Kluyveromyces lactis: one gene and its partners. The protein of the gene in region 1 purifies or fractionates together with the protein of each later gene. This does not show direct contact. Links are inferred from orthologs where the notes say so. Each region holds a gene or a part of one and is shown in the gene's direction. Other genes may lie near its edges.

Region 1 (4,123 bases):
AAATTCAGTCCCGGTGTCCGCAGAGATCCAGGAGATCAAATCTCTATTGAAAGAATGTGTATGGCAGTTCTTGAGAAAATGGAACAAAATCTGTAAATATGAGTCGGGGCTCATCTGGATAGCTCTTGGCTTGGCAGAATGGTGTCCCTTGAAGAATAACGATGATTTGGTCTTGGCAGGTCGGAAACACCATCATCATAACTCTTGTCTGAGACATTTATATGAGGAATATCCAATTCCTGATGAACTACTGAATCAATTACCTGATACCGAGTTTGATTTTGCCGCTATCTATGAGCGTTTAGTATTAGTGTTGTTTCATGCTCCAGCATTAGACGAAAAACCTGATAAATCTAATTATCACCTACTTAAGAGTGGGAATCTGAATCAACAATCGCAATTGTTCTTCAAGGTTTTCGCCAAGACGTTACCCGAACTGTATCAACCCATCACTGATGAAGGCGCTTTGCAAGGTTCCAAGAAGGCTACTTGGTTGTATTGGTGGATCAAATGTTGTGGTTGCAGAGTGTTGCATCGTCAGGATAGAGGAAGAGTATGGGATGTGTTGCTCGGATGGAGACCACGTCCTGAATCAATCAACTATTATCTCGAGTACAACCATAAATCATTTGAAAGCATTTATCCACCTGAATTGAAACTGAGTTCAGAGATTTTCCATAAGATTTGCAAATGTGAACATGATGAGTTTTGGTTCCCAGATTTGATGTCGTTAAGGCTCGGTCAAAATGGATTGAACCAAGATGAAGATGTCATTCGGGAATTGATACGAAGAAATAAATATGGGGACGATGGTCATACTACAGAAACACAAGAAAATGAGATTCCATATTCGCTCTTGAACCCTCATGCGGAGTTACTTTTCATATATGTTGCCATTATGCAACATAACGAATTTAAACTTTTAGAGTTTGAGGAAACAGAGATCACCGAGTTCTTAAATAATGTCCCACTGATATCAAAATTCGATGACTACAACTTCAAGAAGATGTACGAGGATGATGACATTAGTGGAAGTTCGACAGACACAGATGAATCCAACGCTTCAGGAATTAGACCAAGTTCTTCAAATCATATGATGATAGAGGTCGGTACTGACGATAAGACTGCACACTCGTTTGATGACATCTACCAGCAGGCTGGAGACATCTGGAGAAATTGGGCTTGGCAGGAAATGGAAGAATTCATAGAAGAATGATATATCAGCATTATATTTGTGTCTTTCTTGTATGTAGTATATCTTCTTTTCCTTTAATTAGCATATATATATATAAAAATACTATATACATCTCGAGCTCTATGAATATTGCAGATTGTATTCTAACCTGTTGGAGCGTTCTAACCAGCCAACTAAGATGTGAGTTGATTTGTTAAATAAAGTCATTTCTTCATCCAGTATTTTTTTGCATGTTCAAAAGAGAAACGAAAGCATTTTTATTTAACATTAGAAAACCAACATAAATGTTACATGAAAGATGAAGCACCGATATACATAATTAGATAATGGCTTCAAAAAGGAGAACCTTGGGGCTTACTTCTGGTGAAACTACTTAAGGACTGGCTAAATTGAGGTACGCTAATTATGTTCTGTGCAATTAGTGGGAAACCACCTATAAAAGCTGTTCTTTCACCTAATTCCAAATGTATATTTGAACAGCATCTAATCGAACAGTATATTGAACAGAAAGGAACAGATCCCATAACGGATGATCCATTACAAAAAACAGATTTGGTTGAAATCAATGCGACTCCACAGCAGATATCACTTTCAGAATCATTGAGCTCGTCTACTATCGCAAACAACTATAGCATTCCAAGTCTATTGTCAACTTTGCAGAAAGAATGGGATGCAGTAATGCTCGAGAATTTCGAATTAAGGAAGCAGTTAGACGTTTGTAAAAAGAATCTCAGTGATACACTTTACAGGTTTGACGCTGTTGCATCAGCGGCAGCAAAAGCTTTTGTAGAGCGAGATCAGCTGAAGCAAGAATTAGCAGAACTTACATCGGCAATAACTTCCTCGAATGTCGAAAATGATGGAACTATTGATAAACTCCAGAACTCAGACCAAATTCTATCAGACTTTACTTCAGAATTATCGACGAAATCTCAAGAGTACGTGACAAATTCCAAAAAGTCTAAGAAAAAGCTACAACACTTCTCCAACGTTTCAGTCGTTCAATCGACAGATTTCTCTGAAATTGATTTGATTAGCAGAAATCAGCATGTCAATCTTAATGAAAGATCTGTTGTTGTAAAAGATAATGACAAAGCTTTTGTGTTTGGACCTCAAGATTCTATTCTTGATGTGTCACAAGCCACAGAATATCTGGTGGAGTTTAAAGACGTTCTATACACCTTCACCCAGGGACTATTAGCAGCGTATGACCTTCATACAAAGTCTTTGTTGTATGAAGAAGTTTTGGAAGGAACTGATGGGCCAGTGATATTTATGGCTTATCCTCATCAAATATCGGATTCTTACTTCTTATTCGTAACTGAAAGAGGTACAATATATGGGTATGAAGTTACCAAAAAAGCACTGTTCACCATCTCACAAGTTAAATTGAACGATTCCGTTCAATTTGTGAATTATCATAAAGATGGAGCTCTTCTTGCTATTGGTAACCAAAACGAAGGTGTATATGTAATAAACCTATTGGCTGCTACAAAAGATCCGATTAAATTTTCAACTGGCTTCCCAGCTAAAAGAGTAGACTTTGGTTTGAACGGTTATTGGATGTTTGTCTTTGGTGATTCTGACTTGAATGTTTACGATTTAAGAAAGGATCCAGGCACCTTGGCAATGGAACCACTTTCTTTCGCTGAGAATATCATCAGTGTGGAGTTGGACGATACAGCTAAAGGTTTTTTCGTAAGCATGGGTAATTCACAAGTACAATGGTATGAGTATGTTAAGGGACAGTCATTTGTCGAAAAATCTACTCTTCCGATCGAAACAAATACAGCAGAATCCATGACATTGGTAAAAATAGATCAAGGATATTTCTTGAACGTCATCTCGGAGAATAAATGCATAACATATGAGTTGAAGTAGATATATGATACTTGTCCTAAATAAGGTATAAAAATTGTAATTATTAGAATAATCACTGATTTGATGGTGAGAGTCGTTAAATATATGATCCGATAATACGTCGAAAAATGAACATGTATGAACTCGCCCCCATATATGTACGTGATTTCATCGTAAAAAGAAGTGAAAATCATGCTCTTTAAATATCGAACTGTGTTTGTGTTTTTCTTGCAAGTGAATAAACGGGAAAGAAGATGGCATTACAGAATATGAAAAAGGGATTACCCCGAAGAACTCTTCTTTACCATCTGCTAGTCATGATTGTAGTTGGCTTTTTTGTTTTAGTAATTGTTCGATGTCTTCCTTCATACTTTTCGGTTTCGTCAACGTGGAATACCGTCCATGGACTCTCCCTGAGCGATCGATCAAAAACTTCTCAAAATTCCATCTAACGAACGTGAACCCAAACATTCGCGGTTGTTGATCTTTCAAGTACTTATATAGCGGAAGAGCATTGACACCATTCACTTTACACTTCTTCATTATTTTAAAACTGACACCGTAGTGCTCCTGGCAAAATTTTCCTATTTCTTCATCGGAACCAGGTTCCTGGTTCATGAACTGATTGCAGGGGAATGCTAATATTTCAAACCCTTTTGCATGGAATTCTTTGTACAACTCTTGTAGCTCTCCATATTGACCTCGGAAGCCACATTTCGATGCAACATTAACTATAAGAACAACTTTTCCTCGCAGTTCACTCATATGATATTCAGACCCATCTTTAGTTTCACAAGAATAACTGTAGAAATCGTCACTCATCTAACTTGGAACTAATTTCTTTCACTCGTAGTACAAAATAACTGACCTTCGTAGTAGTTTCCCTCTTGATCAACCCAGCACTAAAGCCTGCCTTTCTATGCGAAGTGCTTTGCCAACATGTTCATTCATAAACTTATATATACGTACACATATATATATAGTTGATAACAAGAAATAAGTCCAACAAAATATTGCCCTTAAAGAAATCACTCCTCTACTCCTGCATATACGTCAACCGCAGAAAAT
Region 2 (5,115 bases), on another chromosome or scaffold:
ATCCAGTAATGCTACTGATAGATCGCTCTCCGACCTTATACCTTATGGATTCGGTATCCATCATGCAGGCCTTACAAAGGATGATAGATCTTTATCCGAAGACCTTTTTGCTGATGGTTTGCTAAAAGTTCTTGTTTCCACAGCAACTTTAGCATGGGGTGTTAACCTTCCTGCCCACACTGTCATAATTAAAGGTACAGAAATGTATTCACCGGAGAAAAGTGATTGGGTCATGCTTCCCCCACAAGATATCCTTCAAATGTTAGGAAGAGCTGGTAGGCCGAGATACGACGTAAATGGTGAAGGGATCATTATTACAAACCAATCAGACGTACGTTATTATCTCGCTGTGTTGAACCAACAACTCCCTATAGAATCTCAAATGATTTCAAAAGTTGTTGATAATCTTAATGCTGAAATAGTTCTAGGTAACGTCACCTCACTAGATGAAGCAGTTAACTGGTTGGGTTATTCCTATTTATCAGTACGGATGAAGCAATCACCTCATTTATACAACTTGCAAGGTTCTTCAGGAGACATGAGTGATGCTGAGCTCATAAGAGTCAACAGAAATATTGTGCATACGGCGTTGAATTTATTACAGAATAACGGTCTTGTAAACTATGACTCTCTTTCTAAGTCGGTACAACCAACTGAGCTAGGTAGAATATCCTCTCATTTCTACATAAGTTATTCGTCAATTGCAAAATACAACCGGGAGTTAACAATAAACAGCACTTTGATCGACATTCTGAGAATATTTGCTATGTCAGAAGAGTTTAAGAACATTACCGTAAGACAAGAAGAGAAAACTGAATTAGAGAAACTCGTCGAGCGTTGTCCAATTCCGATCAAGGAGAAGGCTACTGATTCATTAGCCAAGGCAAACATTCTACTTCAGGTGTACATTTCAAAATTACGATTGGAGGGGTTCGCTTTAAATGCGGATATGATTTACATTTCTCAGAGCGCAGGTAGACTTTTCAGAGCACTCTTCGAAATGTGCTTAAGAAAAGGATGGCCAAGACTAACCAAGCTTCTGCTTACCATCTGTAAATGCGTCGATAGCAGAATGTGGCCCACGAACTCACCATTTAGGCAATTCAAGAGATGCCCTCAAGAAATCATAAGACGAGCAGAAGCGTCTGGTTTACCCTGGAACGATTTCTTACTGTTGAAGAATGCTCATGAGGTAGGCGAAGCCTTAAGATCTCCAAAAAATGGTAAAGTTGCTTTCGATTTGCTTCAAAGATTCCCGAAGATTGGCATTCACTGCGCAATGCAGCCAGTTACAAATTCACTACTTCGTTTTGAGTTGGAACTCCAACCTACATGGATCTGGGATCTGGATTCCAGCAGCTATTCTGAAACATTCCTTGTTCTTGTCGAAGACACAGACGGTGAACAAACAATTTATCATGAGACATTGCATGTTGGGAGAAATGCAATAAACAGCATTGTGTATCTTGACTTTGTTGTATTTTTGAAGCAGAAAATGTTACCGCCGAACTATTTTGTATCCGTTATATCAGAAAAATGGCTAAACTGTGAGTACAAGATTCCTGTTATTTTGAGTGAAATAAAATTACCTAAACCATTCCCTCCTGCAATATCTGTTTCTGATTCAATTAAGAAAAGTACCAAGGAACTACAAATTGATGAATTTGAGGCGTTATACAATTTCCATTCTTTCAATAAAGTTCAAACTGAAGTTTTCGATACATTATACCATGAAACTGAAAACGCACTAATATGTGCAACAAAAGGTTCCGGTAAAACAATAATGGCAGAACTTTCATTATTGAACCATTGGAGAGAAGGCAGAGGACGTGCGATTTACATTTGTCCATTCAAAACCAAGATAACTGAACTTCTAAAGAATTGGAAAAAGCGATTCTCACATTTGGCTGGTGGAAAACTGATCAATGCTTTTTCTGGAAATTTGCAGCACGATCAAAAACAATTAGCCCAATCTCATCTAATATTAGCTACTCCGAATGAATTTGAATACCTGTCTCGTCGCTGGCCGGAAAGAAAAAACATTCAAAGAATAGAACTAATTATTTGTGATGACATCCATGAAATAGGCAACGAGATAATTGGACCGATGTATGAAATCATAATTACGAGAATGATTTTCATTGCAACACAATTGGAGAAGAATATAAGGATTGTGGGGCTTGGAACCCCACTTGCCAACGCAAAGGATTTCGGAGAATGGTTAGGTGCAAAAAAATCAAGTATTTTCAATTTTACTGCTTTAGAAAGGCAAACACCCTTGACAGTCGATATCGAAACTAGCATTTTAGTAAAAAGCCCTACTTCTAATCGAATGGCCCTAACTGAGATCGTTGAAAGTAGTAATCGTGTCGCCTCACCCGATGAAACTATAACAGTTTTCGTCACTGACAGATATGAATGCGTTTCTTTCGCGACAGAACTCGTTGGTCTCGCTGTTGCTAAAGGCATTGATCTTCTTAGAGCAGAGGAATCCAGTTTACACTCGTATCTCAACAAGGTCCAGGACAGCAACCTCAAGACACTGTTGCAAAGTGGTATAGGAATTCTATACCAAGGTATGCATTATTCCGATAGGAATGTAGTCCGTAAGCTCCATGAATACAAGGTGATATCGATTTTGGTTGCAAGTAGGGATTGTTGTTTTGATGCCCCTTCATCAAGTTTTGTCTTTGTTACTACAACTCAATATTTTGAAGGCAGGGAGAACAGATACATCGATTATCCTGTAAATACTATTCTTGAGATGATGGGAACAGCGTTTACGGCGTCAAATAAACAGCAAGCACATGCAAAACTAATCACCACAATGCAAAGGAAGGAATACTATAAAAAATTCCTTTGTGATGGGTTACCAACGGAGAGTTCTCTGCCATACCATGTTATTGATTTACTTACAACGGAGTTTGCAAACCAAACATTAGAAACCAAGCAAGACTGTATCGACCTTTTAACTTACACTTATCTATATCGTAGAATACATGCAAATCCAAGTTTCTACGGTATTCAAGATGTGACTGCAGACGAAATTTCCTCCTATTTAACAGAATTAGTAGAGGAAGCAGTAACAACCATGAAGGAAACCGAGCTTATATCAGTTGAAGGGGAAGCGAACGATTCCACAGAAATTGCAGAGGAGGTAATTTCCCCGAATAATGCCTGTCTTATTTCTGCTATCCATGCCGTAAGTTGTTTAACGATATGCAATTTTAGCCGAGCAGCATCAAGATCACTAAGAATGAGCGGTATTCTTGAAATTTTGTCTTCAAGTGAAGAGTTTAAGACATTGCCTCTTAGATTACATGATATAAAGCCATTAAGAAAATTATACGACATTTCACCTTTGAAGTTGTCCTCCGAATTCGATCCACGCTCCACAACAGCCAAGGTTTTTGTGTTATTGCAGGCCCATTTTTCAGGTCTTCATTTACCCATGGACTTATCACTTGATTTGTCTGAAATCCTTTCAAAAGCACCTAGCTTAGCAGGAACAATGGTAGATATATTGTCAATGAACGGTTATTTGAATGCCACTACTGCTATGGATTTAAGTCAAATGATTGTTCAAGGTGTGTGGGATACTGATTCACCTTTGAAACAAATTCCATTCTTTGATACAGACATCTTGGAGAAATGCAAAAACCATAATGTAGAAACAGTTTATGACGTGATGGCTTTAGAGGATGAAGAAAGAGAAGATATCATCACTTTACCGGAAAATAAGTTGAATAAAGTCGCAGAATTTGTCAACAGTTATCCAAACATTGAGTTGAAGTATGCTCTAGATATGTCAGCACCGATGAAACCTCACGACAAAAAAATGGTTACTGTAACAGTAAGTAGAGATGAAGAACCAGAAACACTAAATGTTAGCTCAAAGTCGTTGCCACATGAAAAAACTGAAGCATGGTGGATATTCATCGGTGAAAAGAGCTCCAGGCAGCTATATGCTATCAGGAAGATCGCGCTTACAAAAATGACCCAGGACTACGAATTGGAAATCGAATTGGAAGATCCTGGTGATCATGAACTAACAATATGGTGTGTATGTGATTCTTACTTGGATGCCGATAAGGAAGTAACATTTAATGTTAACATCGCATAGTAAATGCATAAATAAAAAGAAAGTACTGTATATATGCAGTGAATATAAATTAAAATAAAATTCTTTCTATAAGCAGAGTAGAATCCCTTTATCTAATCCTTCATTTCAATGTCCCCGTCATTATCCTTGACTTCTGTCACATCCGAATCAACAAACCCGTTATGTTGCTTTTTCTTAACACTTTCTTGGTGCGCCAGTAACTGTGCATGACTCCACACAGATACACCTTCTTGATCTTTTGGATCAGTTGGTTGTGCCATGGTTCGCAAAAATTGCTTAGTATTGGCGATAGCCATATCCGTGGACAAGTTCATGTCGGCATCAGATAAACCTTGTGCAATCCATTTTGGTAGTTGACTTTTCTTCCTTGCAAATCTACGGTCTGCCAACACCATTACACCGTAGTCATCTTTACCACGTAAAACTCTACCTAAGCATTGAGCTGCATGTCTCATTGCATCAAAAGATAAAAAGTCATTCTCTCGGATCTGGTAATTCTCACGTAAGAACTCTAGTCTTGCCTTAAGAATACGAGATTCTGTATACTGGAACGGAATGCCGATCATGAGTACAGTTCTTCCGTACTGATGGTCAAAATCGATACCCTCAGACACTTTACCACGCGCAACTGACAAAAGAATGGCTCCTCGTCCGTTAGAACAGGCCTTACGGTATGTTTCCAATGCTAAAGCAGTTTCTTGTGCATCGGGAGTTTCCACTAAGATCAATTTGTATTTCCAAACCTCATCTAGAATACCCATAGTTTGCCACATTGAAATAATGGATTCCATGTATAAATAAGATGGGAAAAAAACGACCAAACCATCGGGTGTGATTTTGGCAAATTCAACCAACATCGAACCATAGTTACGAACAATGGAAGGATCATTTCTAATTTCGAATCTAGATGATATTGCCACTTGATCAGAACCCTTTGTTAAAATCATTGGCAAGAATGATTTTTTCGCTAAAGTCATCGAATAAGATTGTTG
Region 3 (4,143 bases), on another chromosome or scaffold:
TTAGTAGCAGTTCCTATTACAGGTGCCATCATCGGACCAGAAAAGAGTTTCAAGGGCTATGACCACTATGTAATTTGGTGCGGTGTCACGTCATTTGTCTCTGCTATATGTTATATGATTTCCAAGACATTAGCAGTGGGCTTCAATATGAAGAGATTCTAAAATGCCATCCACAACTATTCCCAAACTTGTTTTAAAACTTACGCCTTCCCTTCAACATCGAGACATCATTAATACATAATTTTAACCTGGCTACTATATACATTCCTATCTCGTTTTCATGCGCTGCATAATCAGATACACAACCTTTATAAATTTATACATCTTTAAATTAATTAGCATATCATATTTATTACATTCATCATATGTACAGGTTTCATTCTATTTAAACTTTTCTGATAGCGTAATTGCGTGCTAATATTTCATTTTTGTGCTAAGGACTCATAACCTTTCAATTTTAACCATTCTTTGATTCCACAATTTGCAAGTAATTTCGATGCATAGTCATTCTCATAATAATGCTGTAGTTTTCCCGAGTTTTTCACATCGAAGCTTCCATCAGCTAATCTCTGGATCATATCCACTTTGGTAAATACCATTGGTATTGCGGCCTCATTAAACAGCCTTATTCCATCTTTTGTAAACAAAGTTGGAGAGCTCATTATCATTATGCTCGAGTTTCTTTTACGAGCGGGAACTTGCATGGAGAATGATCCAATTAATTCCCGTACCTGGCGGCCAGTAACTTTATCTGAATTGAAAGCCTTACATTGAATGTAACAGTCTAAATATTTATCGGGTTTCACCCTATGTTTCCATGGTTTTATCGATGTAGTCGGAAGTTTCAAACGTTTAGGTAGCTCATCGAATTGTATTTGCATTTCTATAGCCTTTGTTAATGGTAAAACGTTCCATTTGCCCCGAATATCAATGCCGCCATCATATGAACCGCCAACTACCTGCATATCCTCCAGTCGGAGCTTATTCATTAATTCTCGTACCACCGTGAGCTCATATAGCGTACCTTGAAAAACGGTAGAGTTGGCGATGCTCTCATTGGCAGCAATATACTTCTGTAAAGTATCTTTGGGAAATGAACTTGCAAAAACCCCTTTCCAACTCATCTGTATACCTAATAGGCTATCATGGACAAAATAGACCAGCTGGCGTTCTCGCCATTGTTAGTCTCATCACCTCCATGTATCATTTGTATCACCAAAATTTGGATCGGATTCAAATAACTAAAAAAAATGTAAATGTCATAGAACCGACATACCTTGAAGTCTATTGATCTAGCTTACATACAGCCATATACATGCAGTCATCACTTCAAAAGATGATTTCGACACAACCAATTGTTACCCCTGAACCAAAAGGATCAGAAAATAGTGGTAATTCCAACGAAGATGTTCCCACCGTGTTTGAGATAGCCTCAGATATTCAGCAAAAGTTACAGGACTTACTGCGGAAAGTGAATGACGATGATGTACAATTTAACAAATTCGCCGATTCAATCAACGATAGACTCAAGAATTTAGAAGAGTGATTCGTTATTATCCATAGTCATATAGCATCTATCACATGTATACAAGACCGTTGAATGTTGCCATATCTGTTCACGTATAATATAATGGTATAAATTTCAACATTTAATTGAAAAATATATGTGGTCTTAATAAAGGACATAAAAAAGGCAAATTGACAGATGAGCATACAATAGTATTCTGGCTCGACTGCTTATTAATATAACAACAGTCAACTGCCCACCAGATATTGCACTATGGTAAAGAAAGCCAAGGCTAATAAACGCCGTTCAAAGAATAAAAATGGATCTGTGAAAGAGGATGCAGAAGAAAGGAAGAAGAGGCTTTCCAGTTTGTTACAACAAGTGTCATCAGAGAATGGCAACACCTCGCAACAGGTAATTAATGAACCTTTAGTTATCAAGGATGAAAGTCTCAATAAAGTGTTACAAAGATTTAAAGCTTCGGCTACAGGGGCCGATGAGGATGATGATTCAAAACGGGAACAAGCCATAGTACGAAAAGAACGGGCTGATATTGACGATGAGGATGCTGAGGGTTCCGACAGTTTTGAGGATCAAGCGGATGAAGTACTTCAAAATATATCAGAAAGACAAAAGAGACTTGCTAACAAACCAAGTATTGCTGTTTTGAAAGCTTCAGTACCATATCCGGAACTCATCGAATGGTTTGACTGCGATGCGCAATGGCCTTATTTCAATGCAGCTATAAAGACAACACATAATACAGTGGGGATCCCCAGACATTGGCAAATGAAAAGAGGTTATTTATCTGGACGATCAATGATGGAAAGGAAGCCATTTCAATTACCTGAGATTATTAGACAAACCGATATTGAAACGATGCGAGAGACTGTTCCCTCTGGAAACGAAAAGCAAGCAGAGAAATTGAAGGATATTACCAGAGCAAAAGTTCAACCCAAGCTAGGTGTATTAGATCTAGATTATAAAAGGTTGTACGAAGCATTTTTCACTTTGGGAAAGAATTGGAAACCTGAACTATTGTCATTTGGTGATTTATATTATGAAAACAGAAGTTTGGATAGTGAACTCGAATGGAAACAAATAAAGACACGATATAGACCAGGGTATCTATCGGAAACTTTAAGGGAGGCATTAAATCTCACGGAGGGGATGCTCCCGCCTTGGTGTCATGAAATGAATAGATTAGGACTACCCAAATCATACCCTGGTATGAAAGTCTGTGGAATAAATTGGGAAATCTCTAATCTTACCGGTACACAATACGGATACTACCCTGAAGATACTTTGAGAATACCCAAACAAAACTTATTCGGAGCCATGTTCTCATTTGAAGAATTAGAAGATCAAGACGCACATATTGATCCAGATCCGTTGAACGAATCAATTTCCGACGATGAGGTGTCTTCAGACGCCAATGAAGCGGAAGCAACAAAAACAGAAAGCGAGACACATGAAAACAATAATTCAGGCTTAGTGCCAATTGATGGAGGCTCTGTAGTCAACCAGCACTATGATGAAAATAGACCCTTATTTACTGTTCTAACGGAAGCTAAATCAAACGAAGTCGACGGATCTACAATAATCAGTTCCACTACCTCTTACAATATTACGAACAAACGATCAACAAGCGTAGAGGAGAAGGACGATGATAATGTCTTACATAAAAAACAGAAAGTGGAAGAAGAGCCTGACTTCCGTTTTTGATCTTTACATTAACTCGTTAGAAACCCTACGTTTCAAAAGTGTCAGCTGTTTCCCTTTAATTACGTAAAATATTTGTAAATGTGAGTATGTAACTATATCAAAAGTATCATTGGATTGCAACATGTTTTAACTTTATTGCAGTAGGTGAGTAATAAACTCCTTGAATCGTACCAGCTCCGCTTGCTAACTATTACCTTCAGTTCGTTCAAACCCAAACATTTCATTTTCAATGTATCTCTAAACTGAAAAATTTACAATAGTCAACGTCTAAATCATGAAAATTATCAAGTTCAACAATCATATTCATGACTGAATAAATGGAGAAACACTCTTACTGGCTTGCTTATCTACACTCAGCGACCCATTGATCTACACTAGCATGTATAAAAAAAAGGGACTATCTCACGGGAAAGTGGGACTTCCAATTGGTAGGTCTAAGGATGACAGCAATATGTTGGAAGCACTGCAACTATATGAAGGTAAAAATTACAAGAAGTCGTTGAAGATCTTGGACACAATCTTGAAGAAGAACAGCAGTCATGTGGACTCTATAATTTTGAAGGGATTGAACTTGCAATTCTGTAGTACACCTGAAGAAGCTGCTAGTTACATTGATAAAGCGTTATCCAAAATTAAAGGCACTCTTGTAAGTCCAATTGGTGGACACTTATTAGGAATTTATTACAGACAGGTGAAAAATTACTCAGACGCTGTAAAGTGGTTCAAGGCCGCATTAGAAAATGGTTCTACAAACACTCAAATCTATAGAGATTTGGCGACATTGCAATCTCAAATTCATGATTTCAAAGGCGCGCTGGAATCGAGAAAAAAGTACTGGGAAAACTACAGAGGATATCGTGCCAATTGGACCTCATTGGCCATAGCACAAGATTTGAATGGGCGTACGCAAG
Region 4 (3,549 bases), on another chromosome or scaffold:
AACCAACGGTCTTCTAAGCCGATCATCTTGAGACGTTCCTCGCATGATTTGAGTTGTACGGATCATGTGAACATCGACGATATGATTGACAAATTGTTGTACCTTGGTGAATCTAGAATTTACCACTCAGAGGACTTCCCATTCCGTTCTTGGGAAATCCAATTGGTTTGCACCATGGCCAGAGAAATCTTCTTGAACCAGCCTTCTCTGTTGAAATTACAGGCTCCAATCAAAGTTGTCGGTGATGTTCATGGTCAGTTTACTGATTTATTACGTATCTTGAGGTTATCTGGTGTTCCTCCTGACACGAATTACCTTTTCCTTGGTGATTACGTCGATAGAGGTAAACAATCGTTGGAAACTATCATGCTTTTGCTCTGTTACAAGATTAAGTACCCAGATAATTTCTTCATGTTACGTGGTAACCATGAATCTGCAAACGTCACCAAGATGTACGGATTCTACGATGAATGTAAACGTAGACTGTCCACTAAAGCTTGGAAAATGTTCGTGGACGTTTTCAACAGTTTACCCTTCGCTGCCATCATTCAAGATAAAATATTCTGCGTTCACGGTGGTATCTCGCCACAATTGTCCAATTTGAAACAAGTAAGCAAAATCCAAAGGCCCACAGATATTCCGGACGACGGTCTTTTAACTGATTTGTTATGGTCGGATCCTGACTCTTCTATTAACGATTGGTCTCTGAATGATCGTGGTGTCTCTTACACTTTTTCAAAGAAAAACATTGCTGATTTTTGTTCCAAGTTCAATTTCGATTTAATTATCAGAGGGCATATGGTGGTAGAAGATGGCTATGAATTCTTTGCAAGGAAAAAATTGGTCACGATTTTCAGTGCACCAAACTATTGTGGTGAATTCGAAAATTGGGGTGCTGTCATGAGTGTGACTACTGGCTTGATGTGCAGCTTTGAACTATTGAAACCTCACGGTATTAAAAGAAAGAGATAAAAGAAGTTTGCTTCCGATTAGATGTTTACATGAAACAATATCTATTTTTTTTTTCATTACGACTATTCCTTTTCTACAAATTTTCATACATAGTGTATCATGAATCATTGATGAATATTTCATTTCTCTCCTTTTATGGCTTTATTATACTGATAATAGTAATTCCGTTCGTTCGCACCTTTCTCAATCTTGAAATACAATATCATAATACTGTCACAATCACTGATTTCTTTTTCTCATTTTTACTTCCTTTTTACACTAGGCCAATACAATTTTCAACTACTTGTTTTTCGACATACGTTTTCTAATCTTTATAACAATTCAACCATATCTCATCTCATAAATGTCTGAAATACTTTGGTATTCATGTCTATCAGTTTGTTTGTTTTCTTGTCGTCTATACCGTATATGTCATTGTATTACGTATCCAATGTGTGGTAAACAGGTACTGCTGCTAATTCTATCTTGATAGTTTACTGCCTCTACAGTGGTATATATTGTGACGGATTAGTTATCAGTATCATATATCACGGTCCGCTCGTTAATGTCGATCTTCATTATTTTCAGTTGTTGGGTTGTTGGCAAAAGCAAAAAATTTCAAAAATACTCCGATACGGGGAGTCGAACCCCGGTCTCCACGGTGAAAGCGTGATGTGATAGCCGTTACACTATATCGGATAGTAACCATACAAAATAGAAATCAACATTAGTTTTTATTATGGAAACAGTATCACTTGAAACCTTCTCTTCAGATATTGTTAGTATGTAGCTGAATCTCTTGGAAATACTTGTGTAGTCAATTTTAACAATCAGCACCTATTTAACAGGGATCTTATTCTTCTTGGTGGCATGGGGGTGTGTTATGAATTCTAAAATGGTATCTTCCCACATTTCCCTTATGGCTATTGAGAATCATTTCTGTCAAAGTAGAGTGCATAACAATATTTTTCCAGAGAAACCACTGGATAGTCTCAAATTTAATTAATTGAAAGTTACTTATTATTCTTTCTCAGCAGTCAAGAGCTTCGATGCAGTGTCCACCCGATTTGTTTATTTGATTTTTCACAACCTGTCACTGACACAAAGTATTCAGTACTTATAATATGGCTTATATGGAAAAAAAAAAAAAACTTGAAAGATTCATTCAACTTTAAATTTGGGATTGAAATGATTAAGTAAAATCTATAGGTTCATAAGACACCATAGCTCCAGATAAACTCCAAATACCCCAAACTAGCATCAGTCAAGCAAATACCATGTCTCTAGCGGAGTTTGATGAGATTAAGTACGATCACAGTTGTGATAGGTTAGATAAGCCCTCTCGTTATTTGATCCGTAAGGCTAGACGTGACCCAGATTCTGGATTGCAACAGTTGAGAAAATCTATGAAATCCTGTACAGTTTATGTGGGTAATCTATCGTTTTACACAAGTGAAGAGCAAATATATGAGCTATTCTCCAAATGTGGCACCATAAAAAAGATTATCATGGGTCTAGATAGGTTCAAGTTTACGCCGTGTGGATTTTGTTTTATTATATTCGATAAGATGGAAGACGCATTGAATTCTATAAAATACTTGGGTGACACGAAGTTAGATGACCGTCATATAACCATTGACTTGGATCCTGGGTTCGAAGAGGGAAGACAGTTCGGTAGAGGTAAGAATGGTGGTCAAGTTAGTGATGAGATGAGATTCGAATTCGATGCGTCCAGAGGTGGGTTCTACACTCCACTTGAGAATAGAATTGGAACAAATGCCAACTTCGGGGCCAGAAGAGTTAAAAACATTCCAATACAGCAAGAGGATGAAGAATATGAAGAAGATGAAGATGCTTACATTCCAGGCCAATAAAAACAGTACAATCATAAGGTCGTTTATCGATGTGTATATATCACATTTCAATCTAAGTACCTATTTCACTAAGTTAATTGATTTAAAAGAATAATACTGTGGTAAGAAGTATTTTATTTGAATATATAGCTAGTTCATATTAGAGCTAAAGATATCTCGATATAATAAAAAATTTTGCCGCTTTAATCCATCAATAGGAGTTGGGTGAAATGAATGGATGGTAGATAAAAGAGCAGACAAACACTAATAAACTAATAAATGAAAGAAAGTTAAAGCTGTGCCTTATAATGAGCTCGTGACAGCTGGAATTGAAGATTGACCGTAGACAAAACAAAAAAAATTAAGAATATAAAGAATTAGGAGAAAGAAAAGACCACCTTAATATGAAGGGGTAAAATCTTCTTCTCATGCATGCTAAACGATAACCGAAAAAGTGTAGATTTATGATATGCATTACGACAAATGTCACGATGGTTGTCGACGATGAGAAGGTGGGGGCATATTATTCGATGACAGACGTTTCAATTCATCCAGACGATCTATCAATTTTTTCCTTCTTGTAAGTGGTATAGTACGGAATCTCATTTCCAATTGGGGATCAGATCCATCTTCCTCGTGTTGCACTGAGTCATCATGATCTGGAGGCAGGATTTCTGAACTCACCGATTTGTCTGTATTCACCGATTGGTTCAGTTTATAATATTCGTTAAAGATTTTACGACGT
Region 5 (4,495 bases), on another chromosome or scaffold:
CAAATCTGACTTTGAGTTAAATACTGTGAAAGGTGTTGCCCTGAAAGCCGAAAAACTTTACTTTAGAACCAGGACACCAGCGTCTGCTGAATCCATGAAAAGGTCAAAGGAAATTCTCAGATCAGGATGGGACGAACAGAATATATACTTCGGTAAGAACGCCGAAAAAGAGAAATTGGATTTCTTAGCTAAGTTGCAACACAGAAATAACAAGGAAACTGTATTCGAGTTCGCAAGGAATCCAGACGATGAAATGTCTGTGTTAATGAAGAGAAGGAGGAGACAAATAGCTCCAATTCAAAGGAAGGCAAAAGAAAGACAAGAACTTCTGGAAAAAGAGAGAATGATTGGTTTGAGGCATAGTATAGAAGATGAAATTTTGAAAGGTGAAGACAACGAAGTTGGTTACTCAGTGCCTGATGAGGTATTGAAAGAATTTGAAGATGCCGATGTCTTGTTAGAAGAGCAAGAAAATATTAAGAAGAAGCAGAAGAAAACTTTCAGAGATCCAACTTTTTATCTATCACATTTCGCACCAACTAGTGACATTCAAGATAAACAATTACAGATATCATCTGGTTTCACAAATGATGCTTCCAATGCTGCATTTGATCTAGCCAACGATGACAAGGTACAAGTTCACAAGCAAACAGCTACGGTTAAGTGGGACAAGAAGCGTAAGAAATATGTGAACACTCAAGGTTTGGACAACAAAAAGTACATCATCGGAGAAAGTGGTCAAAAGATTCCTGCAAGTTTCAGATCCGGAAAATTCCAAGATTGGTCTAAGGCAAGAAAAATTGCTCCACTCAAAGTTGGTGCAAGAGAATCCACTATTCCATCGAATCTATTGGCTGATCCGACTTCTCCATCGGAGCGTACGGTTGGCGGTAAATTCAAACACAAGACTCAAAAAGCTCCTAAATTGCCTGATAAACATAGAGACGATTACGCTTTCCAAAAGAAAAAAGTGGAAGCTGCTTTGGAAAGAGGTGTTAGAGTTAAGGGTTATAATGGTCCTGGGATGAAACAAGAAATAAAGTCAGTTGACGAGATTAGAAAGCTAAGAGAAATTAAAGAGAAAAAGCGTTCCAAGAATGCCCGTCCTACGAAGCGGAGAAAACATTAGTATATTATGTAACTGCTCAAATAACAATCAGTGTGTAATTGAATAGACATTTTCTAAGCTTAAACATGAAATGGCCTCTCTCCAAATTATTGTTATGATATGTGACATATTGTATTGCTGGTTTACATTGTTTACTAGTATTTGTTCCTCATACGTCGAAATTGCCATTGATTATAGAAAATAAAAATGTAAAGAATGGAAATACCTTAGAAAGTACAAATATGGATCAGATGAAGGCTCAAAATGAATACCGTGCCTTCGGTTTACTGTCTGTGTAGCAGTTAGAGGATTCATAGAAGACAATAGATATGAATGCCCCCACTTATCTATGTTTTGAAGAGAGGCGAAAGATATTAGAAGAATTAGAAGTCATCGAGGATGCTATTTCGTCCAGACTACGAAGAAATCCAGAAATCTTTTACAGATTTAACGAAGCACTGCATAATCTGGGAGTTGAAGCTTGGGCGGTACCTAAGCTAGACGTTTCTGCCAACAGGATTTACAGGAGCAAGAAAAGCAAACGTTCTAGAAAGCAAATCAAAGCACAAGAATATGAAATCGCCTTATTTCTTGGAAGATATAGAAGACTGTTGAAATCTTTGCAAAAGCACAAATTGAGTGAAGAACATTTAGAATACTTTAGGGATACAAACGCTAGCTTTGAACAGTTTGAAACCGTCACCACAGAAGTATTAGAGGGTCAAGTAAACTCACGTTCTCTGGTTGAAGTCAAATCTGACTATGAGATGTTTTCTGGCCCTCAAGCTGCCAGTAAGAACATCATATCGCCCATAGGACAAATAATTGATCTTTCAAGAAACTTTGCTAGAGATGAAAACTTTGGGACGTATTTGGATCTCTCAGAACAATTCAAGAAGTGGTTGAATATCATCAAGCGTGCGGATTTAACGATACTTTCATTTTTGAAGATGTTAGAATCATTTGAAACATACGACTACTTACTCAACCCATCATTAGATAGAGACACCAAGGAATATAACCAATTAGTCACTGAGTTACTGAAATATTATAAGGCCTATTACTCCAAAGCTTATCCTCTAGTGGACAAGGAAATTCTTTCCAAAACCATCCACAATGGATTTGATAAATATGTGAGGACCGGTATCACAGAATCCCCATCGAAGGAAAGCGGGAAAATGTACTCCGTTGTGTTTAATCGATGGTTTGATAGTCAGTCGGAATTTAATACTCATGTTCAAACTGAACAGTTTAATATTGCATTGTCTCGGAATAGAAAGCGTTTGATGAAGGAATACACGTTTCACTGTTTTTCCAAATTTCTCTCTAAAGTATTGCAAAATACAATATCATTCACGGAAAGAAAACTTGCATTCACAGATGAAGAGTTTACTGAAGAGCTGGAAAAGCTACAAGAACAATATGAATCACCCATATACGCCAAAGATGAATCTGAAGATAAACCATCTTATATTGACAATGCTGAAGATACTGCTCAAAAAGAGAGTATGGATCCAACGAATCCATACAACCTACCATTAGGACCTGACGGATTTCCTATACCTCGCTGGCTCATCAAAGTCCAAGGTTTAGATGTGAAATATGTTTGCGAGATCTGCGGTAATCAAATATATCATGGGCGTAGAGAATTCGAGAAACATTTCCCACTGAAAAAACATTCAGAAGGTTTGAAATCTTTAGGCATAACTCCTTCTCTTGCATTCAAAGATGTCACTACTATAGTAGAGGTGACAGAGCTATGGAAAGCATTGCAAGCAAAGAGTACACTAAAGTCAGGTGAACCCTTTTCCAAAATATCAACTGTGAAAGAACCGGAAATGGTACTTGAAACAGAGGACAATGAAGGTAATGTGATGAGTGTTCAAGTATACGAAGAACTTAAGAAACAGGGCCTTCTCTGACCTTTCAATCCTACACACATGCTAAAATGGAAAGACTCTCCCTTATTGCTGCATCTGTAAATATCGTATGTATGTAGAGGAACTTTACACAAGTTGGGAGCATGGTTTTTTTTTCACATGTCACATGATCTTGAAGTTCGAAGAAAATTATCCATTTGGAATAGATGGTGGAAATATATAATCAACCAAGAAAAAAGAAGAGCATCATCACTCGCATGAGTAAGGAAACAGATCTCTACTTCACAGCATCTTATTGATCTAAGCACGTTACAATCTGCTAACCGGGAATATAAAAGTGATGACAGTCAAAAAAAGAACTGGTAACACCTCCCGTGGTGGATCTGCAACCTCAACACCTCAGAAACAACATCGAGAAACAACATCGAGAACACGGTTAGTTGAAGATTACAAAAAACACTCCAAGGTTGAAGTCAAAAAAGATTCAAAACTATATAATTTTGCTGTTAGAACCATTTGGACATTTGTTATGATTGCAGGTTTTTTTATCATCTTGGCTTCTGGTCACTTTTGGTGTGTTGTCTTGATTTTGGGTTGCCAAATTGCCACTTTCAAAGAATGCATTGCAGTTACTGGACAATCAGGACGTGAAAAAAACCTCCCTTTAACGAAAACTTTGAACTGGTACTTTTTGTTTACTACGATATACTATTTGGACGGTAAATCACTTTTCAAGTTCTTCAACGATACCTTCGTGAAGTATACCGTTTTGAATTTCGTGGCATCCAATCACAAGTTCATTAGTTATTGTCTCTATGTTTTGGGTTTTGTTATATTCGTTTGCAGTTTGAGAAAAGGTTACCTAAAATTCCAATTTGCTTCATTGTGTGTGACACATATGGTTTTGCTGTTGGTGGTTTTTCAAGCACATTTGATCATCAACAATGTTTTGAACGGTTTGATCTGGTTCCTTTTGCCATGCGGCTTGGTCATCGTGAACGATATATTTGCTTACTTATGTGGTATAACTTTTGGTCGTACCAAACTAATTGAAATCTCTCCAAAGAAAACTTTAGAGGGTTTCCTCGGCGCATGGTTTTTCACTGCAATTGCCAGTGTTTTACTGACCAGACTTCTTGCACCATATTACTACATGACATGTCCAGTTACAGACTTGAAAACAAACTTTTTCACAGCGTTGAGTTGTGAGTTGAACCCTGTTTTCGTTCCACAGGATTATAGACTACCTCCGATTATTTTTGAAAAGATTGGCGTTGACGTTATTACTATCAAACCGGTCTATTTGCATGCATTGAACTTGGCCACTTTCGCATCCTTATTTGCACCATTTGGGGGTTTCTTTGCGTCTGGATTGAAGAGGACATTCCAAGTGAAGGACTTTGGTGATTCAATTCCGGGTCACGGTGGTATTACTGATAGAGTCGATTGCCAATTTTTGATGGGTTCTTTCATGAACTTGTATTACGAAACTTTCATTAGCGAAAAC
Region 6 (5,244 bases), on another chromosome or scaffold:
ACCAGCGTTATCAGCGAGACTAGCAAATCTCTTAGAAAGTTGATTTGTAAGACAGATACCTGGCGTTGGAGAAATACAATCTGGTAAATCAGTGTACAACCATACCAGCATTATAGTTACAAAAGTCCAGATTGTTTTCCAGTCCTTCTCCCATTTTGGTAATACTAATTGACCAGGCCACAATTGTTCCCAAACGGTTTTCTTTGAAACTTCCAAATCCTCTAAATACTCTGAATCATCTGCAGAGTAATCGAACAATAAACATCCATTCTCAGTTAAGAAACCAGGATGCATGGATTTCCTGAAACCAGATGGTTCGTTCTTATAAAAAATTGATGGCTTCAAAACCATAAACCTTGAAAGACCCTTTTCCTTATTAAATATTAAGGCAATTTTTTGTTCTAAAGTATCATCTTTTTGTACTTGAAACGCATAATCGTACTCTAAATCATCATTCATACGCACGTAAACCTCCATTGCGACTAGTTTGCTATTGGTTATTGATGTTAATTTTCCCACAAAACCGGAAATATTCGCCTTCCTCTCTGATAAATCTTGAAAAAGTACTGAGTATAGTAACTAGCACTGCTTTGTTGTAATCTGATCTTAACCTTATACCGTCTCTGGTTGGTTCGGATGGCAAATTTGCTTTGGTGTAGTAAATTACACTCTAGAGTTCAGCCTTTTATCCTAGAAGAAAACATTTCGTACTTACCAAGTTTTAGCATATGTCATGTTTCCGTTATTATATATTATTAAGGTTTTTCCTGGTGAAAAGGAACGGACACACAGAGAGGAAGAAGAAAAAAATAAACACACACACAGAGCTGATCTGCCAATATGAGTCCACCCGATATCTGTATGCGGCCGATTAATATTTCCCCAGTAACAATGTATAAATCAACGTGTAGAGACAGACAAAGAGTTTTCTCATACTTGCTCCTCTGACCAGAAGAGAAAGTCAAAAAAACCAATACAGAGTGTCTACCAGTCAAGCTATGGCATTTGAATCCTCATACGGTGTTTTTCTTTTCTGAAGAAGAGAAACACCTACTTAGAGTTAGTAGCGTAATACGCCTTGTGCTTTGAACTTGGTGAACCATATTTACGTTTCTGCACCATCAGGTGCACATTTGTGGGGTTACCAAAACGTGATACCGTTTAACGACACCAGTGCCAGAGCCAGTGCCGGTAAGGGAACAAGTAGTATCGAATTACATGCTGATCTCGTAATGGATTAAAACAATGACTGTGTGCCTTTCTTTCTCAACGTACAAGCATGCCTGTACGCTCTCTTCATCGTAAGTTTTTCCGTCCATATGGAGCGATAAACAGCCTTTGCGTATGTTTCTGTGTTTTCTTATTCCGCTTTGAACGAGCACTTCGCTCCTGCTCCAACAGAAGTTTTTCCGAAACAATGTGGAGTCTCATGTCATTCTGGTCACGTGATCGCATCTTTTCGTGTGACGTGATGTCAGGGTAACATGTTGTTGACTTTTTGGGATTTGTTGGTCACGTGTAAGTTTTTGAAATAGTATTTCCTAACTTCTTCATAAGGGCGGCAAAAAACCAAATCTGAAAGTAAACAAAGTAACTAACAACAGCGCACTTCTTGAGTGCAAGTTGACGAACAACACTACTGATTACCATCAGTATACACCTCTGATCATCGTCTGAAGCGTGTGTTTAGTTACCCGCTAACGAAGATCGGATGACTCAGGACTCTGAAGTGTTGCTATGGCACACTGTTTTACAACGACATAGGAACTACGTTCATTCCTGCATCGGTGATTTTACTTTGGATAGATCATCATTAGCGACAGCAGAAGCTGATACAACAAGTGTTAAGGGACCGAGGTCATCGAAGAAGCGGAAGGAACTGCAATTATGTCTAGCTACACAGGATTGTGTCGAATTGTACGATGTTAGCAATGGAACATTGGATGCGTTGGGTAAATGGCCTATAGCAGCTACTATTCTTTCTATGACCAAGTTGAATATGGATAGATGTTCACATACGATTTTGGTGTTGATAACTGATTCTGGGAATTTAACATTTTGGCAGTTTGAGAGGGATTCCGTGAGCGGGAAAGTGTACGTGCGTACTTTGGCAAACGAACCGATTTCCAGATCTGGGATCAGAAGGTTTGTACCTCAATATCAAATGGTTTCGGATCCACAGAGTAGATGTGTATTTTTCAGTGGGATTGAGCGTTCAAAGATGTGCGTGTTGGCTGACTGGCAACGTGGGAAATTGGTTGTTGGTTCTCCTATAGAGATTCAACGAAGTGATAGAATCACTTTGGCATCGGCAGCTTGTGATGTAAGTTTTGATAATCCGGTGAATGCTGCCATAGAGGTAGAATCTGGGACAAATGATTACTATTTGTCTTTTTATACAATGGATTTGGGTCTTAACACGTTGCTACTCCGGAAAGAGCATCTTTTAGAGGATAAATCCATCAATTTCGTTATGCAATGCCCAAATTTACAACAGTATAAGATTAAAACTAGACCGAATGATGAAACTGATCAAGATTCGGTAAATCCATTTGTTATTTGTGGTTATGATGGATACTTGACTCTGATAGACTTAGAAGGCTTTTATGAAGTGTCTGTTCAACTCCCCGTCAGAAAAACTGTTTCGTCAACTAATATCATCAACGGTACTATTCATAAATTGAAGAAAGATTTTTTCATCCTAATGCAGTCTAACCACGGAGATATGTACAAGGTCGGAATTATCCCTGATGAAGAAACTAAGGCGCCAGTTCTTGAAATTGCATACTTTGATACACTCCCCACTTCTGAAGACATCCACATTTTCAAGTCAGGTGCTCTTTTCAACGTATCAGAATTCGGGACCTCTTATTTAACACAGTTCGAAAGTCTTGGTGAAGATCTAGAAAAAATTACATCTTATACCCCGGGAAGGAGATCATTTATTGAAACAGAGTCCACTTTGAAAAACCTATCCATTCTTGACTCCTTAACTTCTTTAAATCCCTTGACGTCATTTCATGCATCAAATTCGACACCACTCACGATATTGGCTGCAGCCAATCAAACTGAGAATCTTGTTAAATTGACTTCTGCGGTTGATTTTGAAGAACTTATATCAACTACATTACCTAGAATACCATCAAAACTTTGGACCGTTAGAATTCCTAAAAACGAAACTCACAGTCTGATATTTCTTTCTATGGAAACCTCAACGACCATCTTGAAGATCCATGAGGGAACTGTCGAAGATTTTGGTGGAGATTCAAACCCATTTATTTTGAACAAACCATCATTGTTTGTTGGCGCTATGGTTCAAAGAAGTATTATTCAAGTTACTCGGGATTGTCTTTTACAAATTATTGAAATGCATGATGGTCCATACACCAAAAAACTTGAATGGTATCCACCAGCTGGTGTTGGCATCGTGACAGCATTTTGTAATGAGACACAGTTAGTTGTCGCTTTAACAAATCATGAAATATGCTATTTTGAAATCATAGAAGATTCGTTAAACGAATTACAGGATCGAGTGGAGATGGATTCTACAGTGAATTCTATTGCATTGCTCGCCGGTCAAAAGTCAGGCTATTGTGTATTAGGATGTGAAGATTCTAGTCTGCAGATTCTCAACTTACAGAGTAAACATCCAGATTTTTTCACTATCTGTGCTATTCAGTCACTAATATCAAAACCGCACTCTCTACTTTTCATGCGGGACACGTCGGATCTTAAGATCCACGTAGGTATGAAAAGTGGTGTTTATCTGTCATCTAAACTCAATATCAATGATGGCACAGTGTTCGATGTACGTACTAGATTTGTCGGAACGAAGCCCGTCCAGGTAAATCTCTTGGACAATATAGATATCAATCACAAAGATGATGATGATGATGAACCTGGAGAAAATGATTCAAAAATAGACGATTTCAAGAAGAAGATTTCGGATTTCACTCCACTAGTGGTATTGAATTCAAGCATATCTTGGGTAACTTACGAAATTGATGATAAAATCACATTACGTCCTTTGAAAACAGATGAGGGGATAACCTTGAAACATATAAATGCTTTTATCACGGATGATATCAAGCGCAACGGCTGCTGTTCCATAACCAGCAAAGGGCAACTCCTAATCGGCAAATTAGATAACTTTTTGTCCTGGAGTAACTGGTTCAATGAGAAAAAGTATACCCTTGTTAATGACGAACTTAAAAACGCTGGCAATGAAGAAGAGGATGAAGATGAGGATGAAGATGAGGATGAAGATGCAAGTGAGAAGTACGAAATCGTTGGTTATCAATCACAACGGATCCTTTCAGATACAACGGACAATTCGTTATCATATGTTATTTCAAAGACAGCTAATAAAGAAACCAGTCTATCAGCTATTCGCGATGATAAGCTATTGGCAACAAACAATGGGAATACGGTCGTGATTATTGCTAAAGAGGTCTTTAATGCTGTCTGTAGTTGCAATTTCGGTACAAATGTTAAATATATTGTCATATCTACTGAATCAGGGAAATTTATTGTGATTCAAATTCGAGTGAAGAACAACGTTCTTGAAACCCAATACATTCATGAAACAATGGTGCATAGTAAGGTCAATGCCATGGTTTCGTTTGGAGATAAATTGGCATGTTGCATTCTTGGCAATGTTGTCCTATTTGGACTAGGTAAAAAACAATTGTTGAGGAAAAGCATCACCGAAATGCCACCATATATTACCCAAGTAACTGCATTAGACCAATGGGATGGAACCATGTTAGCAGTTGGTGATATTAGAGAATCTGTTACGATCTTCAAGTATGATATAGATAATAACAGCTTCATTGGAGTAGCAGATGACATTGTGAAAAGGCATGTTACTACAGTCAAGTTCATAGATGTATCGAGTGTTATCGGTGGGGATAGGTTTGGTAACTGTTGGGTCCTTAGGGTGAACTATGAGAGCGACACTAGAGTCGCATCTAACATTAAAGCTTGCCAATATACCTTAGAAACGTTGTGCCATATGTACATGAACGATACTCCGATGAAATTTGAGATTGTGAACCATATGAATATGTCCGATCGACCAGCCATCTTATGGATCGGACTACAAGGAACCATAGGTTGTTTCGTCCCCTTGATAACAAGAAAGGAGCAACAGTTATACCAATCGTTCCAATCCACATATGCCGAGCTTGATGTTCTACATTTCCAAGATAACAACAAGCCTGAGGAAGTTGATTTGGAAGAAAC
Region 7 (3,380 bases), on another chromosome or scaffold:
AACATTTCTTTCAAGGTCAGAAAATGCCAAATAATGCAAAACAAAAAATGACCCACTAAGGAAAGGCTTGAACTCAGATCTCTGTGCCTCAGTGCTGTAAGATTATCGGTTAAACACAGTATTGTTGTGACTAAACCTGACATTCGACTGCAGGTTGCAAAATTCTGCTGTTTTAGAAGCGAGTATCTTAATCACGTGATATGTAAACACGTATTAGAGTAAACTGTTCACGTGTCCGGGTAATGTTTGTGTGGATCACTTTTTGTATTACCATTGATTTAACTGATGTACTTCATTTCAATACAATAAGCTTTCAAATATGCATAATTTGTACTGCAATTACGAAGCTCGGTTCACGATTGGTTTGTTTTTTTGCATTGAACGGTGATACGATTCTGAGAGGATACGAAGTGACCCTACTGTGTTGACTTGTTGTGTCGCTTGAGGTGATTATGGTTTCGTCCGAATGGCAGGTTGTATGGGCTTGTTTTGCGTCCAGATTGGCTGTTTCGTACCTGTTCCCTTCTTTGCAGCAGCAATTGGACAGAACCGTTGAGTTTTCTACTCCGGTTACAAGCTATAGATCTCTGCAAGAAGGTGCGTATCTTTTACTGCATAATTTGCCCATTTATGATGGTGGTGTTGTGCATCATGTGCCTCTGCTGGTAGCTTTAATGGCATTCGTTCAACAAGCGGAGTTTCTAATGCCCGTTTTGTTTGCGGCCATGGACACTCTAATAGCGTATCAATTGATGCAAATAGCTAAGATATATCAACGCCAATTGCAAATTCCTAGTTATATTCCAGGTGTGGTTTATGCAGTGAACCCTTTGGTACTTTTATCATGTGTCTCACAATCGACATGTCTATTTGTGAACCTTTCCATTTCTACTTCTTTACTATTTGCGTTATCTAGACAGTTCTCACTGTCAGCCATATGCATTGCGTTGGCTGGTTATTTATCACCTTACGCTTATCTACTGTTGATCCCATTGGCAGGAATCTGTGGATCAAATTCTTTCGGCCTTGTTGTCAAGTGTACATTGGTATCGATTGTTTTGCAGTTGATCAGTTTCAAGTTAAATAACGATAACTGGAACTATTTGACTTCAACATACTGGATATTGATTACTTTCAGTAAGATAAGGCCAAATCTAGGGTTGTGGTGGTATTTCTTTATTGAAATGTTCGAATTTTTCATCCCATTTTTCAAATCTGTGTTCAACATATTTGTTGTTTCATTTATCCCACCTTTCACTATTAGATTCAATCAGCAATCGTTTTACGCATTTGTTCTATGTCTAGGTTGGATTACGCTCACCAAATCATACCCAACGTTAGGTGACGGAGGGTTTTTCTTAAGTTTTATCCCATTTTTCAAACCGATCTTTGGGTATCTAAGATATCCAGTCATATCAACCCTTTTATTCATTCATGCCATCATTTTGTCACCAATCTTCTACTACCTATGGATTGGATTAGGCTCCGGTAATAGTAACTTTTTCTATGCCATTTCTTTGGTTTATGCGTTAGCCATCTCGTCAGTGATTGTGGATTTGACGTGGGCCATGTTAAGAATTGAATACGATTCAGGTAAACCAAACCTTTCATTAAAACTGACTCAAATTTGAATGAACCCTGTTCCTTCTGTTGGAAGAAACATATCGTATTGTCATTATTTAATATATATCTAAGTATGACTTACCCAGTGCATGGCATAAAAACTTTTGAAAACTGTCCGGACTACTTTGGTTTGTTTTATTTGTTCCCTTGGTAGGGCATCTAATATTTCCATGCCATATTGAAAAACATGAAAATACAGTATTGCAAAAAGATAGACAACGAAAACATTACGTAGCAACCAACAGACGTAATAAAACCTTTAACAGATTCTCGAATTATATCGTGTAATCGATACATATCAGAACACCCGCGCATTAACGTATTGAAATGGTAAGTTTTCTTGTTCCATACTTTTTTGGTCGCAGCTAGGACGATTATGTCCATCTGCGATCGATGAATCCACAGATTTTGTCACCTTACTAACCAATTTAAACGTTGCAGGATCCAGAGGAATTCAAACCAATTAACCCTAAACCCTTTTTACATCAATTGATAGACAAAGATGTGCTGGTGACACTCAAATTCAATAAAATACAATATAAAGGAAGACTTGTATCGGTAGATACATATTTCAATCTACAACTAACAGATGCGGAAGAGATCATAAATGATGTCTCAAGTGGGAAAGTTGGGGACATTTTCATCAGATGTAATAACGTGCTATACGTAGGAGAGGATGTGAACAAGCAAAGTGATCAACCCCCTACGCCGACTGGAACAACAGAGAAATCTGACGATAAAGAGGAAAATGGAGAACTCGCAGAAGAAGCGAATTAATATAGCACTAGTCTGAATATTATTGAAGCAAACAAGGAAACATCGGAATAATTATGGATTCACTGTATAGCTTTCCTCAGTTGTAATAGAATTAGGGAACTGCTTATCTTAATAAAGGGAATATTAGTATTAGTATAATTAATGATAGTATAGTTTATGTAGGTTTTACAATTCAAAGGCTCATTCTAAAAAAATCTCTAGAGATTAATACCTTATGTTTTTCATTCCAAGAAGGTCTCGTTCACGGTGTAACAGCTGTTCCAGCCACCATGGATTTCTTATTGCTTACTAGTTTTCCAGTTGAGTTGGGGTAGTGATTTCCAAAAAAAATGCAAAAATGAAACGGACAGGAATTGAACCTGCAACCCTTCGATTGCAATTTTGTTTCCATAGAAATTTCCAGGATTTAACTGGAGTCGAAAGCTCTACCATTGAGCCACCGCTTCATTCTTAAGGTTTTTATCTATAACATCTTCTATATGAAATGGAGTGGCAGCATTCCTTATTTATAATAGTCACTTTAGGCCAGAGTATATTGCTAAGGTGAACCTGGAGCATTTCAACTGAATTAGGTGTCGTCGGTACCAGTGTTTTTTAACAGAATTGAATTACGCTTCCCAGGATAATATAATTTTAGTTTCTTGTATGCAATGATCAGTATAAAATGCACATATTATTTAAGATTCGATGACGACTGCCAGCAAGTTGGCCTCGTCACTGCAATAAAATATAATCATAAAGTAATAGCGAAATGAGGATTACCCTTTATATCACAATATATGTGCCCGTCTTGCGGTAAAACCGATATCTTTGGCTCAAAGTTAAATACTTTTGTGAGATTCTATTACCGAATAGATCATGACCTGAATTCAGTCATCGAAATGAAAGCAGTGATGGTGTTCATTTACAAATTACCTCTGTAGCTTTCTTTGGTACATGCTTCTGCTCTTGCTTTTCTAACAGTTCCCATGCCCAGTAAA

The links.
Region 2: the proteins of PRP19 (region 1) and BRR2 purify together in Saccharomyces cerevisiae (affinity purification with mass spectrometry; 5 studies listed by BioGRID, with this or other methods). This does not show direct contact. The link is inferred for Kluyveromyces lactis from reciprocal best matches to the Saccharomyces cerevisiae genes PRP19 and BRR2.
Region 3: the proteins of PRP19 (region 1) and CUS1 purify together in Saccharomyces cerevisiae (affinity purification with mass spectrometry; 3 studies listed by BioGRID, with this or other methods). This does not show direct contact. The link is inferred for Kluyveromyces lactis from reciprocal best matches to the Saccharomyces cerevisiae genes PRP19 and CUS1.
Region 4: the proteins of PRP19 (region 1) and CBC2 purify together in Saccharomyces cerevisiae (affinity purification with mass spectrometry; 3 studies listed by BioGRID). This does not show direct contact. The link is inferred for Kluyveromyces lactis from reciprocal best matches to the Saccharomyces cerevisiae genes PRP19 and CBC2.
Region 5: the proteins of PRP19 (region 1) and PRP9 purify together in Saccharomyces cerevisiae (affinity purification with mass spectrometry; 4 studies listed by BioGRID, with this or other methods). This does not show direct contact. The link is inferred for Kluyveromyces lactis from reciprocal best matches to the Saccharomyces cerevisiae genes PRP19 and PRP9.
Region 6: the proteins of PRP19 (region 1) and RSE1 purify together in Saccharomyces cerevisiae (affinity purification with mass spectrometry; 3 studies listed by BioGRID, with this or other methods). This does not show direct contact. The link is inferred for Kluyveromyces lactis from reciprocal best matches to the Saccharomyces cerevisiae genes PRP19 and RSE1.
Region 7: the proteins of PRP19 (region 1) and SMX3 purify together in Saccharomyces cerevisiae (affinity purification with mass spectrometry; 4 studies listed by BioGRID, with this or other methods). This does not show direct contact. The link is inferred for Kluyveromyces lactis from reciprocal best matches to the Saccharomyces cerevisiae genes PRP19 and SMX3.

What each region holds. Positions count from the first base shown.
Region 1 is NC_006040.1:326,758-330,880, forward strand, and holds PRP19 (E3 ubiquitin-protein ligase PRP19), read left to right. Parts: upstream 1-1,600; coding exon 1,601-3,076; downstream 3,077-4,123. Other genes in the region: OCA5 (Oca5p), read left to right, coding at 1-1,216; KLLA0_D03905g (glutathione peroxidase), read right to left, coding at 3,371-3,877. UniProt on the Saccharomyces cerevisiae protein: Probable ubiquitin-protein ligase involved in pre-mRNA splicing.
Region 2 is NC_006039.1:1,578,760-1,583,874, reverse strand, and holds the end of BRR2 (ATP-dependent RNA helicase BRR2), read left to right. Parts: coding exon 1-4,123; downstream 4,124-5,115. Other genes in the region: TFIIH/NER complex ATP-dependent 5'-3' DNA helicase subunit RAD3, read right to left, coding at 4,216-5,115.
Region 3 is NC_006042.1:789,948-794,090, reverse strand, and holds CUS1 (U2 snRNP complex subunit CUS1), read left to right. Parts: upstream 1-1,780; coding exon 1,781-3,232; downstream 3,233-4,143. Other genes in the region: MCH5 (riboflavin transporter), read left to right, coding at 1-162; RRG7 (Rrg7p), read right to left, coding at 423-1,124; BIL1 (Bil1p), read left to right, coding at 1,316-1,546; peptide alpha-N-acetyltransferase complex A subunit NAT1, read left to right, coding at 3,612-4,143. UniProt on the Saccharomyces cerevisiae protein: Essential splicing protein required for U2 snRNP binding to pre-mRNA during spliceosome assembly.
Region 4 is NC_006038.1:913,788-917,336, reverse strand, and holds CBC2 (nuclear cap-binding protein subunit CBC2), read left to right. Parts: upstream 1-2,228; coding exon 2,229-2,825; downstream 2,826-3,549. Other genes in the region: KLLA0_B10450g (homeobox domain-containing protein), read right to left, coding at 3,291-3,549.
Region 5 is NC_006042.1:2,291,342-2,295,836, reverse strand, and holds PRP9 (SF3a splicing factor complex subunit PRP9), read left to right. Parts: upstream 1-1,437; coding exon 1,438-3,030; downstream 3,031-4,495. Other genes in the region: ATP-dependent RNA helicase DBP10, read left to right, coding at 1-1,129; CDS1 (phosphatidate cytidylyltransferase), read left to right, coding at 3,329-4,495. UniProt on the Saccharomyces cerevisiae protein: mRNA splicing factors, PRP9, PRP11, and PRP21, are necessary for binding of the U2 snRNP to the pre-mRNA in an early step of spliceosome assembly.
Region 6 is NC_006037.1:720,506-725,749, forward strand, and holds the start of RSE1 (U2 snRNP complex subunit RSE1), read left to right. Parts: upstream 1-1,711; coding exon 1,712-5,244. Other genes in the region: GSF2 (Gsf2p), read right to left, coding at 1-477. UniProt on the Saccharomyces cerevisiae protein: Involved in G2/M transition. Required for pre-mRNA splicing and endoplasmic reticulum (ER) to Golgi secretion pathway. U2 snRNPs associated protein required for the pre-spliceosome assembly.
Region 7 is NC_006041.1:435,769-439,148, forward strand, and holds SMX3 (mRNA splicing protein SMX3), read left to right. Parts: upstream 1-1,950; coding exon 1,951-1,953; intron 1,954-2,064; coding exon 2,065-2,400; downstream 2,401-3,380. Other genes in the region: GPI-anchor transamidase subunit GAB1, read left to right, coding at 453-1,631. UniProt on the Saccharomyces cerevisiae protein: Plays a role in pre-mRNA splicing as a core component of the spliceosomal U1, U2, U4 and U5 small nuclear ribonucleoproteins (snRNPs), the building blocks of the spliceosome.